Rattus norvegicus: one gene and its partners. The protein of the gene in region 3 interacts with the protein of the main gene of each other region in a biochemical or structural test. Links are inferred from orthologs where the notes say so. Each region holds a gene or a part of one and is shown on either strand. Other genes may lie near its edges.

Region 1 (4,728 bases), about 74 Mb from region 3:
AATTCAAGTTGTAAAGATCATTTGGATTGCTTCTAACTAAATGGCCTTCTGTGCTTCTGCTCAACAGCTACACAAGGAACCACTGTGTAAACATGCCAAGAACTGTAATCTAGAAGCAAGAGGAGTAAGATTAGGACTTTGAACCATTTCTTTCTCTCTTCCAAGGACAGCAATAAACCTTTCAAAGACATGGTGAGGCCGGTGAGATGGGTGAGAGGGTAAAAGCACTATATATGCCTGATAATCCTGGGAACCCATAGTGGAGAAAACCAAGGCTGGAAAGTTGTCCTCTGACCATCACGTATTCCAAAGCACGCACAGGACTTATACCACAATAGTATTTAAGAGACGGGTGGGCACATTAGGATTTTCCCCAAGCCCAGCCAGTCAGGTTAGAGTAGAAACCCAGACAGCACTCTTGCCGTGGTTTTTTCCCCTTAAATAGGAAATTTTAAAAAGAAGTGCCAGGTGGTGGTGATACACAGCTTTAAATCCCAGCACTCGAGGCAGAGGCAGACAGACCTGTCCTTTGTTTAGCAATAAAGAAGCTGGAGCCATTCTATTTTATAGACAGGTTCTTGTGTACCATGGCACAAACATGTACACATACACACAAATAAAACAAAATTTCAAACAAAAACAAAAACCTGGGCATTGTTTGTGATTCTAGCACAAGAGAGGTAGAGGCAGAAGAAAAGTTCATGACAAGCAAGAACTCTGCAAAGACAACTGTCTCCAAGTTGTACTCTGACCTCCACACACACTGTGGTATTTACACCCCAACCTGACTAAATAAATGGCATAGGAAAGTAAGATAGAATAGAGGTGGACCACAAATTTGAGTAATAAGCACAAAGCCCTAGGTTCAATCCTCAGCACCAAATAAACGCGTCTTCCACAACAACACAAACCCTGCACCCTAAACAACCACCCCCCCCACCCCCCACATAACAGGGGCTGGAGAGATGGCTCAACAGTGAAGGACACTTTGTGGTTTCCAGCACCACGTGGTGTTACACTATTGGTAGTTGCAGTTCTAGGGGATCCAATGCCTTCTGACCTCTGTGGACGGACACCAGGCATGCACACTGTACCCAGACATACATGCAGACAAAACAATCACACTCACAGCAACAGAAGAGTGAACTCCCCCAAATCCAGGTACCAATGACCACAAGAATTCTATGGTGGTTTAATTGGATGTACCCATAGTTGGAGCATTAATATCTGGTCCCAATTGATGTCATCGCTTGGGTGACTTAGGAGAAGTGGTGTGGCTAGAGGAGGTTGCCGCTGGGTTTCTTTTTCCCTTTTTTGTGTTTTAAGTTTGAGTCCAGTCTTGGGGCTAAGGTTTCAAAAATCCTAATGTCACCCCCATTCACTCTTTTTCTGCTCCCATGCCTTGCTGTCATGCTTCCCCTCAGTGATGGTAACCGTAAGCCCAAAACAAACCCCTTTCTGTAACTTGCCTTAGTTATGGTGTTTTATCACAGCAATTGCAAAGAAACTAATACAAACACCTAAAATGATCAGGACTTTACCAAATATTACTTGGAAACAGAAGGAATGCACCTCATACACTGCTGTTGAGGTGGTGACTCTGAAAACTATTTGGCAGTAACTGCAAGACTAAACCCAGCGCCTGGCCTATGACATAGCACTGCTACTCCTATGAGATCATCTAGGGGACAAAAACAGTATTGGACTCTATAGATCAGTGGGAACCTCCAGATATATGACAATGCCTGAGTTCTTTAATAAGACAGACAAAAAGATTGAACAGGCACCCAAAGAATGTAGTACGGTGGTGCGCACCTGTAATCCAAGCACCAGGGCAGAGACAGGAGGATTACAAGTTCCGGGCCATCCTGAAACAAGACACTGCCTCAAAAGCCAAAGCAAAATAAAAACCTAATTACAAATGACACAATCCCCTAAATAAAAACAAACAGAACAGAAGCAAATTGAAGTAGTGTGCCTTGCTAGGCAGTGGTGGTGCACTCCTTTAATCCCAGTCGGATTTCAAGGACAGCCTGGGCTACAGAGTGAGTGCCAGGGCAGCCAGAGTTATACTGAGAAACCCTGTTCAGAAAATAACAAAACAAAACAAAATGGTAGTAAGACCTGGCAAGGACAGGACGAACAAGTGGAAATGTTTAGCGCTCAAAGACTGTGATCACTCTAGATCATGGGAGAACCTAACTAACCTGCGTTGGCTCCGGAACATCTGCCTTCACTGGACTGGCCTCACTGCTCTTCCTCCGCTTTGTACCTCGAGGAGACTCCTCATGAGATCGGTCTGCTCTCTTCACTGCCCGAGTGCTGCAGCTGCTGGTGGAGCTGCACGGGGAAGGGGAGTCAAACAGTCCACATCGATCGGCCTTAGGGTGAAAGAGACAGACCACCTTGGATTAAAATCTAGTCACTTGAACAGCAGTAAGCCTAAAACCCGGGCCTAAGCTCTATGTTGTCTCAGTCAACATAGTCAATTAAGGACTCAGCTCCTCAGAACTCCACATGCCAAGTAACTTACAAGGTTTGTAGGTCTTCTCATGACAAGGGGAGCGGTCCAGAGGCTTGACATGCACGACGGGGTCTCCTCATCATTCTAGACGAAGAGAAAACTGCTTTTAAATAGATCCAGCAGAGGAGAGGGGATGGGAAGAAGAAAAAGATCCAGCAGACTAACTCTCCTAAGAAATGCCAGGTAAGTCTAGGTAAGTTTGTTTTGTTGTTGGAGGCTGTGAAGCACTGGCTGGCTGGCCTTGAACTTGGGGCTTATATGTTGATCCTTCTTCTGTTCAGCATCCTGAATGTTGAGATTACTGGCATGTAACACCAGGGCAGGCTTTTTTTTTGGTACGAGGGATTGATTGAGCCTAAGGCCTTGTACAGCTGAAGCACAGGCTTTACCACTAAGCTGTATCTTAGTTCCAGAAGTATCTCAATACACTCCTCCTTCCCTATTCCTAAGACTGGTTAGTGTCCCTCAGGGTAAGAGGGAAGATCTTACCAGTATTATCTGACCCACCCACCCTGCTTTAGTCAAGCAGAAGAGTCAATGAACTCTCACAAAAATGAACAATCATTCAGTCAGCCAGGCTCCTGCAGGGTGGTTAGAATGAATAGGCACACCCACCCACAGATGGTACCTTCAGATTCTCTCCATCCAGAAGGTCTATGAAGCCATCATCCTCATCAGACAAAGTGGCTTTCACAGGTGACTGGGGTGTAAAAAGAGGACTGAAATTTCCTGATTCACTAATGTCACTTTCATTTGAAGACAGCTGAAAGACAAAATAGCAAGAAGTCCAGACCACTTTGAATGCTTAGGTGGACTGCTTAAAGGAAAAAGGAGAGTGGGCAGTGCACTGTGTGTGAACCTGGCAGCCTGAGTGGTCAGAGGAGGGCACTGGACTCCCTGGCTCCTGAGCTCGTCTTACAGGGAAAACTAAAGCCATGTGCTGTACCACATGAAGGCCGTGAGCATCTAAACCTGTTGAAAATACAAGCGTCATGGAGATCACAAAATAGCAGACAGAGGGAGTTCAGGAATGCCTATGTAATGCAGACAATGGGAACAAGGGAATTTCATTCTAAACTCGACCCTACTCCTCTATTAGTTCAGGACACAGGGCAGTCAGGGGTGAGCTAAAACCTGTAAACGTTTCTCCCACTTCCCAAATGTTGAGATCACAGGTGCACACTACCAAGCTTGACTTCTAACCTAGCTCCTCATTAGGATTACAATGGAAGTTGGGCTCGGAAAGATAGCTCCGTGGGTAAGAGCAAGTACTGTTCTTGGAGAAGTTTTTAATTTAATTTCCAGTATCTGTCTCAGACAGCCCACAGCTGCACATACTGCCCTGCTCCACCAAATTAAAAATAAACGTGATTTAAACTAAAATGAAAGCTGTCCAGTTTTAAAATGAGGGATTGTGATGTCCTGGACATTACAACAAAATCTTTACAACTGTAATCCCATTTAAGCCACAGCACACACTTCTGGTAGTCAGCCTCTTTCTTCCCTGAGACTAAGTGCCCCTGGTGTCCATCCTATCTCAGCTGCAGTCGTAGCTGGGAGTACATGTGTCAACACAGCCAAACAATCCTTTGCTTTTGTCATACGCCTCATCAACTCACACCCTACCTTGGAAACCAATGTGGTGAAGTGGCAAACACCTGTGATTCTAGAGGCAGGAGCGTTAGGAGTTCAAGACTAGCTTTGACTACATAGCAAATCTGAGGCTAGCTTAGAGATATCTAAGAGATCCTGTCTCAAAAAAGCAAGTAACAGAACACCCAATCCAAACAAAAGCCAAACCAGTAAGATAAGCCACAGGCTTTTAAAGTCTGCACCCTCGGCACCTATAGTTAGAGGTGCTTTAATGATCAAGCAGTTACAGAAAATCTTAGCATTCTGATCCCCAAATATCTACCAAAAATATTGTTTCATATATATATATTTCAAACTGTTATCATGTACTGAGCAACCTATAGTTAAATTCCAGCCTGCTTTTACATGTCCTTTGACAAATGCATCATCAACTTCTCTAATGCAACTTTCTAACCTGCCAAATAACCCCAGCTAATTCACAGGCCTCCCAAACGTTTTACAGACATGAGCCACCAAGTAATAACAGTAAACTTGTTTTTTTGTTTTTGGAACAGGATTTCATGTAGCCCAGGATGGCCTTAAATCATGGCAGAGCTGAGCATAACCTGAAC
Region 2 (4,728 bases), on a different chromosome or scaffold from region 3:
AAAGTCCCTAAACGAGGCTTCAGTTAATAAAGATACGTAAAAGCTTATCTTCTGGCCAGAGGAAACAAAATGCTGCCGTTGGCTTATTTCTATCTCTGAACTGTAGTGAGAAGCCCGTCACTGACATGCTCTGCCAACTTAGTAATCTCACACTGAGGTTGAGAATGGAGCCCAGTTCCTACCTAGCAGGCACAGATCTCATGCTTATGTAATTCCTAGCACAGTAAACAGACAAGTAAGTAAAAATAAGACCTACTCGTGGGTTGGTTGGTGCAACATAGCAGGCAAGGAAGACCAGCCTGTATGACAGGTCTCTGACACCCAGGGCTCGGAGCCCTCGGATGCCTTCTGTCTCATACCCGTCAGCGCCACTGACTCGGGAGTTGGTCTCCGCACGTGCTCCTGTAAGAGCGAAAGACAGGTGTCTCACAGCTCAAATACTAATGGTGCTCATAAGAATAACGTGCTTGAATAAGCCAAAGCTGAAACGCCATCCTTCATAGAAAAAGTCTATTTTTCACTCTCTTCATACTTAACTGTGCTCATCCCGATCGGTACGTTACAAAGAAGATTCTAGAAGCCAGATATCCTGAGAGTAGGTGACTGATCAGGACTGGTTACATCCAAGCAACAAATTACTGACCTGGTGTGCTAAGCTTGGAGACGTCCGGCACAACAATCAGCGTCCCCGTGAAGTCACACCTGTCACCAGCCTGGGCTGACTCCACGGCTTCGGCCCTCAGGACAACCTCCAAACTCCGGGGGATGCTTCCCCGGGGAAGCTCCGCTTGAGTCTCTTGAATACGAACCTACAACCAAGACCAACAGCAAAGGAGAGATGCTTTCACACGCTACACACCTGAAATCAAATGCTACAAACACCCACCTAACCCAGCCTCCTTGCACACCTTGTTCTGTGTGTGTGTGTGCAGGTGGTCACACCTGTCTCAGGTGTCACTCCTCGGGCACCGCCCACCTTCTCTCTTACGACCGGGCCTCTTACTGGCCTAGAACTCACCAATTTGGCCAGGCTGGTTGACCACCTAACTTTTAGGGATCTGGCTGCCTCTTCCTCCCCTGCACAGTACACGCCACCACACTTAGCTCTTTCTGTAGTACTAGGGATCAAATATAGGTCTCCATGCTTGTTGACAAACTGCCCTATAGACTTGTGACACATACCAATATTCACCTAAAGTTTGTACTGGGGGCTTGAAAGACGTTTCAGCTATTAGGAGAACTGGCTGCTTTTCCAGAGGACTTGGGTTTAATCCCAGTACCCACATGGAGGGTTCACAACCACCACCAACTGCAGCCCCAGAGGCTCCAATGTCCTCTTCTGGCCTCTGTAGGCACGGCATGCATATGGTTCTTAGATATACATATAAGCATAACACCCATATACCTAAAAATACATAAAAATTTTGTGCCCTAAAACTTTTACTCAAATACTTCACCTGGCTAAGCAATTTATCTCTTGGCTCTGGAGAGATAGCTGGGTAATTAATTAAGAGCTTGGTCTGCTTTGCAAATGTTGCACCACATGTGGGCAACACACATAATAAACTTTTGTGCCCTTTTAGTCAAATGGCTCAAGAGATGAATCTACTGGGACTGAAGAGGTGGTTCAGTGGTTAAGGACCAGAATTTGGTTGCTAGCATCCACGTGGAGGCTCACAACCACCTATGTCCTGGTTAGTTTTTATCATCTTAACATAAGCCTGGGAAGAGGGACCTCGGTCATGCTGGCTTGTGGGCAGGCATGTGGGGGTATTTTCTTGATTAATGACTGGTGTGGGAAGGTCCAGACCACAGTGGTTTGGACCACTCCCAAGTAAGTGGTCCTGGGTTGTAGAACAGGTTGAGCAAGCCTTGGATTACTGTAAGCAGCATTCCTCCATGGCAGTGGTTCTCAACCTTCCTAGAGCCCCAACCCTTTAACATAGTGTTCATCATGTAGTAACCCCTAACCATAGGGGTCGAGACCCACAGGCTGAGAACTACTGCTCTATGGCGTCTACTTTGGTCCCTACCTCCCAAGTCCTATCTTGACTCCCTTCCTTCAATGACAGACTGTAACTTAAGATGAAGTAAACCCGAACACCGCACCCCACAACCCCCTATTGCTTTTGGTCAAGTTTATCACACAACAGAACTTAACTAGGACAATCTGTACCAGAGGACCCGATACCTTCTTCTGGTCTCTGTGGGCACTACATTCCCACAGAGACTGACATAATATGTCATTACGAGGGCCAAAAATGAATTATTAGCATTATTAGCTTTAAATCTAATCTGTCTAATAAATACATTTACATATAAGAATGTAATCTAAGCAGAAGTAAGTACCTTTTGAAAATCAACGAATCTCGATTTATTGGTGTCTAGAAGGAACCTCTTCCTGTTGGCGCATACTGGATTGCGGCAGATGCTCGGCTGTGTGTATTTGAACTGCTGCTCTACGTCCTTGATCACTGTTTGGCAGTCGAGGCACAGGAAAGTCCCACTCACAAGCTCGGGGTGCACTGGGTGAGTGCGCACCACCTGCCCACTGATGCGAGTGAGTAGCCCGATCCTGGAGGAAGTGAGCTCACGAATCCTATGTGAAGAAAGAGTCACATTAGCAGACACCTTTCTGTCCTCTTCCCCACTTCAGTTCCAGGGACTGAACCTAAAACCTCACACCACTTCCGCCTGTTAAGAAAATCTTCTAAGTTTTTGTCTCATGTGTGAGCATGTCTCTGCGGGTGTGCACGTGTGAGGGCGGGCACCAGACACCAAGTCATCCTGGATCTGGAGCAGCAAACGGTCGTGAGCCTCCCGACACTATGCTGGGAACTAAACTCAGGTCCTTTGCAAGGAACACTTCACTCTTAGTAGCTGAGTTACCGCTGTAGTCCATAACTTCTTTTAAACTGTGTAACACAAATTCACAACTAAAAATAAAAGTGAGCTGGGCAGTGAGCTGGCAGTGGTGGCGCACACCTTTAGTTTCAGCACTTGGGGCAGAGGCAGGCGGACATGACTTTGAGCCCAGTCTGTCTACAGAGCAAGTTCTAGGACAACCAGGGTTGAACAGAAAAAGTGGCAAAAAGCTACAATAAGTAAATAAAAACAAATAAGAAATGACTGAAGAAATAAATTGGGTGGGTGCCATGACATGCATCTAAAATCAGTGTGCTGTTGAAGGGGCAGATCTTGGGTGCTCACTGGCCAGACAGCCTAGCCGGAGGACCTCAGACTCGGAAAAACACTGTTTCAGGATTGGAGAACTTATGGCTAAGAGTATTTGCAGCTCTTCCAGAGGATCTGAGTTCCTATGTCACAACAGGAAGGAAAGTCACCCCAGGAAATCCAGCACCCTTTTCTGGTCTCCTGGTCTCTTTGGGTAGTGTACACACTTGTGTTTCTCTCTCTCTCTCTCTCTCTCTCTCTCTCTCTCTCTCTCACACACACACACACACACACACACACACACACACACACACACACACACACACACACACCACAAATAAATATTTCAAATGATTTTCTTCAAGTTAAGAAGATGTTTCAAGGGGTTGGGGATTTAGCTCAGCGGTAGAGCACTTGCCTGTCAAGCGCAAGGCCTTGGGTTCGGTCCCCAGCTCCGAAAAAAAGAAAAAAGAAAAAAAAAAAAAAAAAGATGTTTCAAAGTTATGCATTTAAGTTGGGGGGAATGGGGGCATGGTGATATATGCCTTCTTTTTAAAAATTACTTATTTTTATTATGTGCATTGGTGTTTTGCCTGTGTGTACATCTGTTTGTGAGAGGGTATTAGATGCCCTGAAATTGGAGTTATAGAGTTGAGTTGCCATGGGTGCTGGGAATTGAACCTGGTCCTCTGGAAGAGCAGCCAGTGCTCTTAACCACTGAACATCTCTCCCAATCCTAGTGGTGCATGACTCAATCTCAACACTTAGGATGGCAGAAGCACCTAATTTCTATAAAAGGTGATTTCTGTGAGTTCAAGGCTAGCCAGGTCTACATACTGTGAGTCCATATTCATTAAAGTCCTAAAATTCATTAAGTTTTTACTCTTGAAATTTATTCTTTTTTTTTTTGAGACAGCATATCACTACATATTTCTGGCTGACCTGAAATCATTATTTAGACCAGCTGGCCTCAGTTCTCACATTTTTTCCCTTGGCAAATCTTGTCCTGATTTCCCTAAAAGGTGCTTTAAGAATAACAACACCAAGTACCTGCTTCAACTCATATTGCCTCTCCTAGCTCCAAGGAAAAACAAGTTTCTCCAAACTAAACTTCCTGAGTTTGAATACTTCAAAAACGTCAGTGTGACCTCGGCATCTGGGGACTGGGAATCTGAAGCCAGCACAAGCTACCCAAGAAGGCCTTATTTTCAAAAGACACAGCAAACAAGAGGAACTGTCACAGTATCAGTGCTCTATGATAGGTGAGGACTCTGAGACCCAGCCAACGGAGGCTGATTTGTGCACCACACTGGCTTGAGCGGCACACCTCAGGTGTTATAAATGCCCAGAGTAAGTGGTATCTGATACAATGGGTCCTTTCACCCCCTAAAGGTTCCTTCCTTACTTGTGTCTAGTGGGTAGGTCTTGGAACGCAACATAAAAATCCTTAGCAAAAGGGATCTCCTTTCGGTCTTTGACAAAGGTCTTCAAGGCTCGACACAGGTAAGGGTAGACTCTGAAAAGCAAGCAGAACCAGTGACAGATTAGTCTTAC
Region 3 (4,728 bases):
CTTCTCATCCATTTCTACCAAATTTATTTTGAAAATCAACTTATTGTTTCTTCTATCCATTGTTGATACAGTAACCTAAGGCAATAAAAATAAGGTCAAGCCACATACACACGTGAATAGAAAATACTCTTAACAGTTCTTGTTCAACGGGAGTGTCATGGAGAACACTATACATTTCAAGACTAGAGAGACGGCTCAGGTTAAAAGTACTTGCCCCTCACTCTTCCAGAGGACCCTGGGTCCACTCCTGGCATCCATGCCAGGGGGCTCTCAGCCACCTATGATTCTAGCTCCAAAGGATCTGATGCCTCCACAGACACTAACATACGCATGTACCCTGACACACCGTTTATGCATAAGTGTAAAATTAAAAATCAAAAAAAATCTTACCAAAAAAAAAGAAAGAAAGAAAGAAAGAAAGAAAGAAAGAAAGAAAGAATGCTCTCTCTCTCTTTCCAATCTAAACCAAGCTGTAAGTTAGAACTTTAGTCTAAGTGAACTTGTGGTAAAAAAGAAGGCATTCTAGCAAAGCAGAATTGAAAGAAAAGACAAATAAAAATAATAGGAATAGAATGAAGACTGGAGGTGTAGCTTAGTGGTAAAGCACTTGCCCAGCATACACAATGCCTGAGTTCAATCCCCCAATACTGTAGCCAACCAATCAGTCAAATATATGAGAGAGAAAACAAGGTTATTACAGTACAAGAAGAGCCGGGGGTGGTGGCACACACCTTCTCCGTGAGTTCCAAGTTAGCCTGCTCTACAGAATGAGTTCCAGAACAGCCAGGGCTGTGTTTGTGTTTCAAACAAATACAAAAACTAATGAAAAAACAATACAAGAAAGAAAAGAGACGCTATTTAAGGCTGAAAAGCTGGAACAACAATGTGACAGTGATAGTGAGGGTAAGGAGCTTGGGTGAGATGACTGATGGCAGTCAAGAGCCAGCACCAAGACCCCAAACATGGAGGTGAGGACATCTCCAAGTGCAGCTTAATATAACATTACTAACTTCAGAGGTTTTTGAAAACACAAAACAAACAAACGCAAAAAAATCTTAAAACTTGCAATTGTTTCTTTTTCAAATTAATTACTTTTATTTTTAGAACGTTCACTGATCACTGATAACTTTTACTCAAATATTTAATTTTCTATAGGAAAAGAAATAATGAAAACTAACAAAACATACCTGATTCATACAACTCTTCTTCCACTGATAGCCCAACTTCTCAAAGGTCTCTTTCAGGCATTGGTAAGATTTGTCTGCATCCAATTTAGTGAAGAATCGTGTCATCCTTTTGACCAAGCGCTGCCAGGGGTTCTGCACATCAAAGAAGAAAGCTGAATAAATCCAGTGTGACCAGTTTACAGCAATTAGTCTGATCTTAAGTTTCTTTCCCATAATGGCCTCCTCTAATTATTTCTTACTTTTCCAAATAATATGTATCAACTAAAAGTATTAATGCCATATACCTAAGATTTAAGACCACAAAAATAAAAAGCAACAGTTATTTATCTGAAAGTTGAAATTCCTCACCTGTGAAGATCCAGGGGTACCAAGTAGCTGACTGTTTACAAGCATATGATCAGGACACGTAGGCTGGGAAAAACTGATGCCTTGCACCAGTTTGTCCACATTTGAGGGGCCAGTGTCCCACAAGGAAAGCCCTGTCCGAGGCTCTGGCTGGGAACTAGAGAACTTCACGTTTTCTTCACTGAGAGATTAAGAGAAAAGAAAAGTATGACTTCAATTCTCTGTTTTTAAGGCGGCTTCATTCTTTTTAATTATTCATTTTGTGTTGTTTGTTTGTTTGTTTGTTTGTTTGTTTGTTTGTTTGAGACAATACTGTGTCATGTTGCCTAGATTGGCCTGGCCTGGCACTGTCTATCCTCCTGCCTCAGCCTTCCAATTAACAGTTACCTGGGACTGTAAGTGTGTATAGTACAGAGTCAGACTAAAATTGTCTTTAAATAAAACCCACCAGGATTTTTTTATATGGCACAATCATTCTCATTTTGGTAAAATTACAGGCATTATTAAGTAAAATATATACTTCTTTTTTATGGGGGATAATTACATTTAAGAAACAAACTTAATCTGCTAATCCATGGTAGTGCAAACTTGTAATCACAACACTCAGGAGGCAGACACAGGAGGTTCCATACAAATTTAAGACTAGGGTGGGCTACCCAGTTCCAGTTCAGCCAAGGTTACTTAGTAAAACACTATCTCAAAAGAAAAAAAAAAAGGAAAAAAAGAAAAAATAAAATTTTATGTCTTACCTGGAACCACTATTTATTGGAGAAAAGTCCAAATTGGAATGAATGTGCTTAGAGAATCCACTAGAAGACTCTGACATACCACCTGAAGTAGCACGTGGCCTCTTCGCTCCTGAAAAAAGGAACAAATGCAAATCCTCTATTCAAGTATTTAATCCAACTAGCATTTTGAATAAATAAAGCCACATCTAAATCCATTTACTGAATACAAAGCAATATAAAATAAACAATTTTTTCTTAAACAACTTTATGTTTAAACAAAGAAATGTTACCCTAGTGCTTCACTAAGGCCACAAGTTTAATGCCATCTTTTATGAGTAAACATGATGTTCAACAAAAGAGTAGCTCATAACTAGAACTTTTAAAATTTTTAAATAACTCAGTAAAGAACGACAATCAATAAAAATAAGACCCTCAGCTAGACTACTACAGTCCATGCTACTTGTCTCCTCACACTTCCTAAGAATTCTCAAAACTTCTACTCTCTTCTGAGATTAGCAATACCGCCCACCATTCCATCATTCTTAGCATAATATGCTATCCTACTTTTAGAATAATGCTAACAGACATAAAATAGCACAGTATGTCACTACCACCACATACACACACACACACACACACACACACACACACACACACACACACACACACACACAAAGTGCCCTCAGAAGCCAAAGGGTACCTGAGTTAGAAATGTTTGTGGGCCTCCTTGTGGGTGCTGGGAATCAGACCCAGGTCCTCTAACTGCTGAACCACGCCTCCAGCACCAACCTCCCAAACCTTAACACTCTACTGAGTAAAAACAAAGTTCAGTTCAGTAAGGTGATGCTGATTCTCTAACTGCTTACTACCTTACTTACAATGAAGTGAAATAATGCAAACAAACAAACTGGGAAAGGTGCGTACAGTTTGAAAGTTTTCTGCTTGCCAGTGCCCAAGGAAGGTGAGAGAGTAACACATGTAAAGAAGACTCAGACAGGGAAGGAAGGTATTGCTAGACACAAGGAATAAGTTCTCATCATCCAAAACGAAAGTCTATGGAAGAAGTGCGAAAGAGAAAAAAAATTGTTAATTCAGTTTGGGACAAATCATGCTTGATTGAAATGTAGTACATCAACAGATAGTCCTAAGAGAGGGACTGCAGAGATGTCTCAGGGGTTAAGAGCACTTTTTGTTCTTGCAAAGGACCCAGGCTCGGTTCCCAGTAGTCACATCACAACTCACAACATCTGTACCTCCTGTTCCAGGGGATCCAGTGCCCTCTTCTGCCTTCAAGGACCCCCAGGCACACATGTGTAGTGTGTACACACACACAGACACACACACACACACACACACACACACACTCTCTCTGCCCCTCCCCCTCCCCTGCAGAGTTTGTGGTATTTTATAAGTATCTATGTTTCACAAAAGAAACCTCTTTTTTACCTCTGTTAAGTGGTTTGTTGTACCATCTATCTTTTTTAATGTCTGGGATGGTGATCCTTGCTGATGGATTCTCAACTAGAATTTTATGAAGCAAAGCTGAAAAGAAAACAAGACAGTATTTGTAAAAGAGGTACACAGATTAGACAAACTTTCAAAGACACAAAAGCCAGAAACATGATATACACCTACAGCCTCAATAGTTGAGAAGCACAGGCAGGATGCTTGAGGCCAGCTTGGGAAATATATACATTAGTTTAAAAAAAGAATTCATACAATTTCCAACATCCCAACATCAAAAATGTAAGCCAGGGGACTGGTGAGATGGCTCAACAGTTATCCAGCAACCATAAGGTAGGTAACTCACAACCATCTATAAAGGGATCTGATGCCCTCTTCTGGCACGTAGGTGTACATGCAGAAGAGCACTCCTACATTTAAAAAAAAATACATATATAAATCAATTATTTTAAACCAAGAATAAAAAAGTGACCAGCTTGTAGTCCCATCATTCAGAAGGCTGAGAGGATGCCACAGTCAGGTCCAGCCTGAGATTCAAGACAGCATGGGCTAACACAGACCTTGTCTCCCAGAATAAACAAGCCATCTGAACACCAGCATCTGAAGGTGGAGACTGAAGGTAAAGATCATCCTCTACTACACAGCTGAGCGCAGGGTTCAGCTTGGGCTAAACAAGACCATTTCAAAATCAAAGCCAAAAGCAATCAAACACAAAAATTAAACCACACAAACAGCAAATGAGAACACAAAGAATTTTACAAAGAAAAAAAAATCAGAATAGAAAACACCTTTCTCAGCATGACAATATAAGTCAAAATCACAAGTGACAAGAATTTAGGTATGAAAACTTTAAAACATCTGCACATTAAAACATCCGGCAAAACTAAAATGAATAATAAACTCTAGGAAGTACTGTAACAAATGTTACATACATTAATGCATTTTTTGAAAAACCCCCAAAGGATTAAGAAAAACTATAAATTTCACTTCATTTCAGAGTAAAA

Evidence for each region.
Region 1: of the proteins of Chek1 (region 3) and Cdc25a, one has a biochemical effect on the other in vitro, tested with the Homo sapiens proteins (7 studies listed by BioGRID and IntAct, with this or other methods). The link is inferred for Rattus norvegicus from reciprocal best matches to the Homo sapiens genes CHEK1 and CDC25A.
Region 2: the proteins of Chek1 (region 3) and Mcm6 form a complex in vitro, tested with the Homo sapiens proteins (2 studies listed by BioGRID, with this or other methods). The link is inferred for Rattus norvegicus from reciprocal best matches to the Homo sapiens genes CHEK1 and MCM6.

What each region holds. Positions count from the first base shown.
Region 1 is NC_086026.1:118,749,246-118,753,973, reverse strand, and holds part of Cdc25a (M-phase inducer phosphatase 1), read right to left. Parts: intron 3,288-4,728; coding exon 3,153-3,287; intron 2,609-3,152; coding exon 2,534-2,608; intron 2,382-2,533; coding exon 2,208-2,381; intron 1-2,207. UniProt on the Homo sapiens protein: Tyrosine protein phosphatase which functions as a dosage-dependent inducer of mitotic progression. Directly dephosphorylates CDK1 and stimulates its kinase activity. Also dephosphorylates CDK2 in complex with cyclin-E, in vitro.
Region 2 is NC_086031.1:42,393,427-42,398,154, forward strand, and holds part of Mcm6 (DNA replication licensing factor MCM6), read right to left. Parts: intron 4,691-4,728; coding exon 4,580-4,690; intron 2,600-4,579; coding exon 2,350-2,599; intron 810-2,349; coding exon 644-809; intron 403-643; coding exon 257-402; intron 1-256. UniProt on the Homo sapiens protein: Acts as a component of the MCM2-7 complex (MCM complex) which is the replicative helicase essential for 'once per cell cycle' DNA replication initiation and elongation in eukaryotic cells.
Region 3 is NC_086026.1:44,612,285-44,617,012, forward strand, and holds part of Chek1 (serine/threonine-protein kinase Chk1), read right to left. Parts: intron 3,803-4,728; coding exon 3,707-3,802; intron 3,314-3,706; coding exon of another isoform or gene 3,297-3,313; exon of another isoform or gene 3,117-3,296; intron 3,071-3,116; coding exon of another isoform or gene 3,060-3,070; exon of another isoform or gene 2,970-3,059; intron 2,391-2,969; coding exon 2,282-2,390; intron 1,714-2,281; coding exon 1,536-1,713; intron 1,320-1,535; coding exon 1,188-1,319; intron 76-1,187; coding exon 1-75. UniProt on the Homo sapiens protein: Serine/threonine-protein kinase which is required for checkpoint-mediated cell cycle arrest and activation of DNA repair in response to the presence of DNA damage or unreplicated DNA.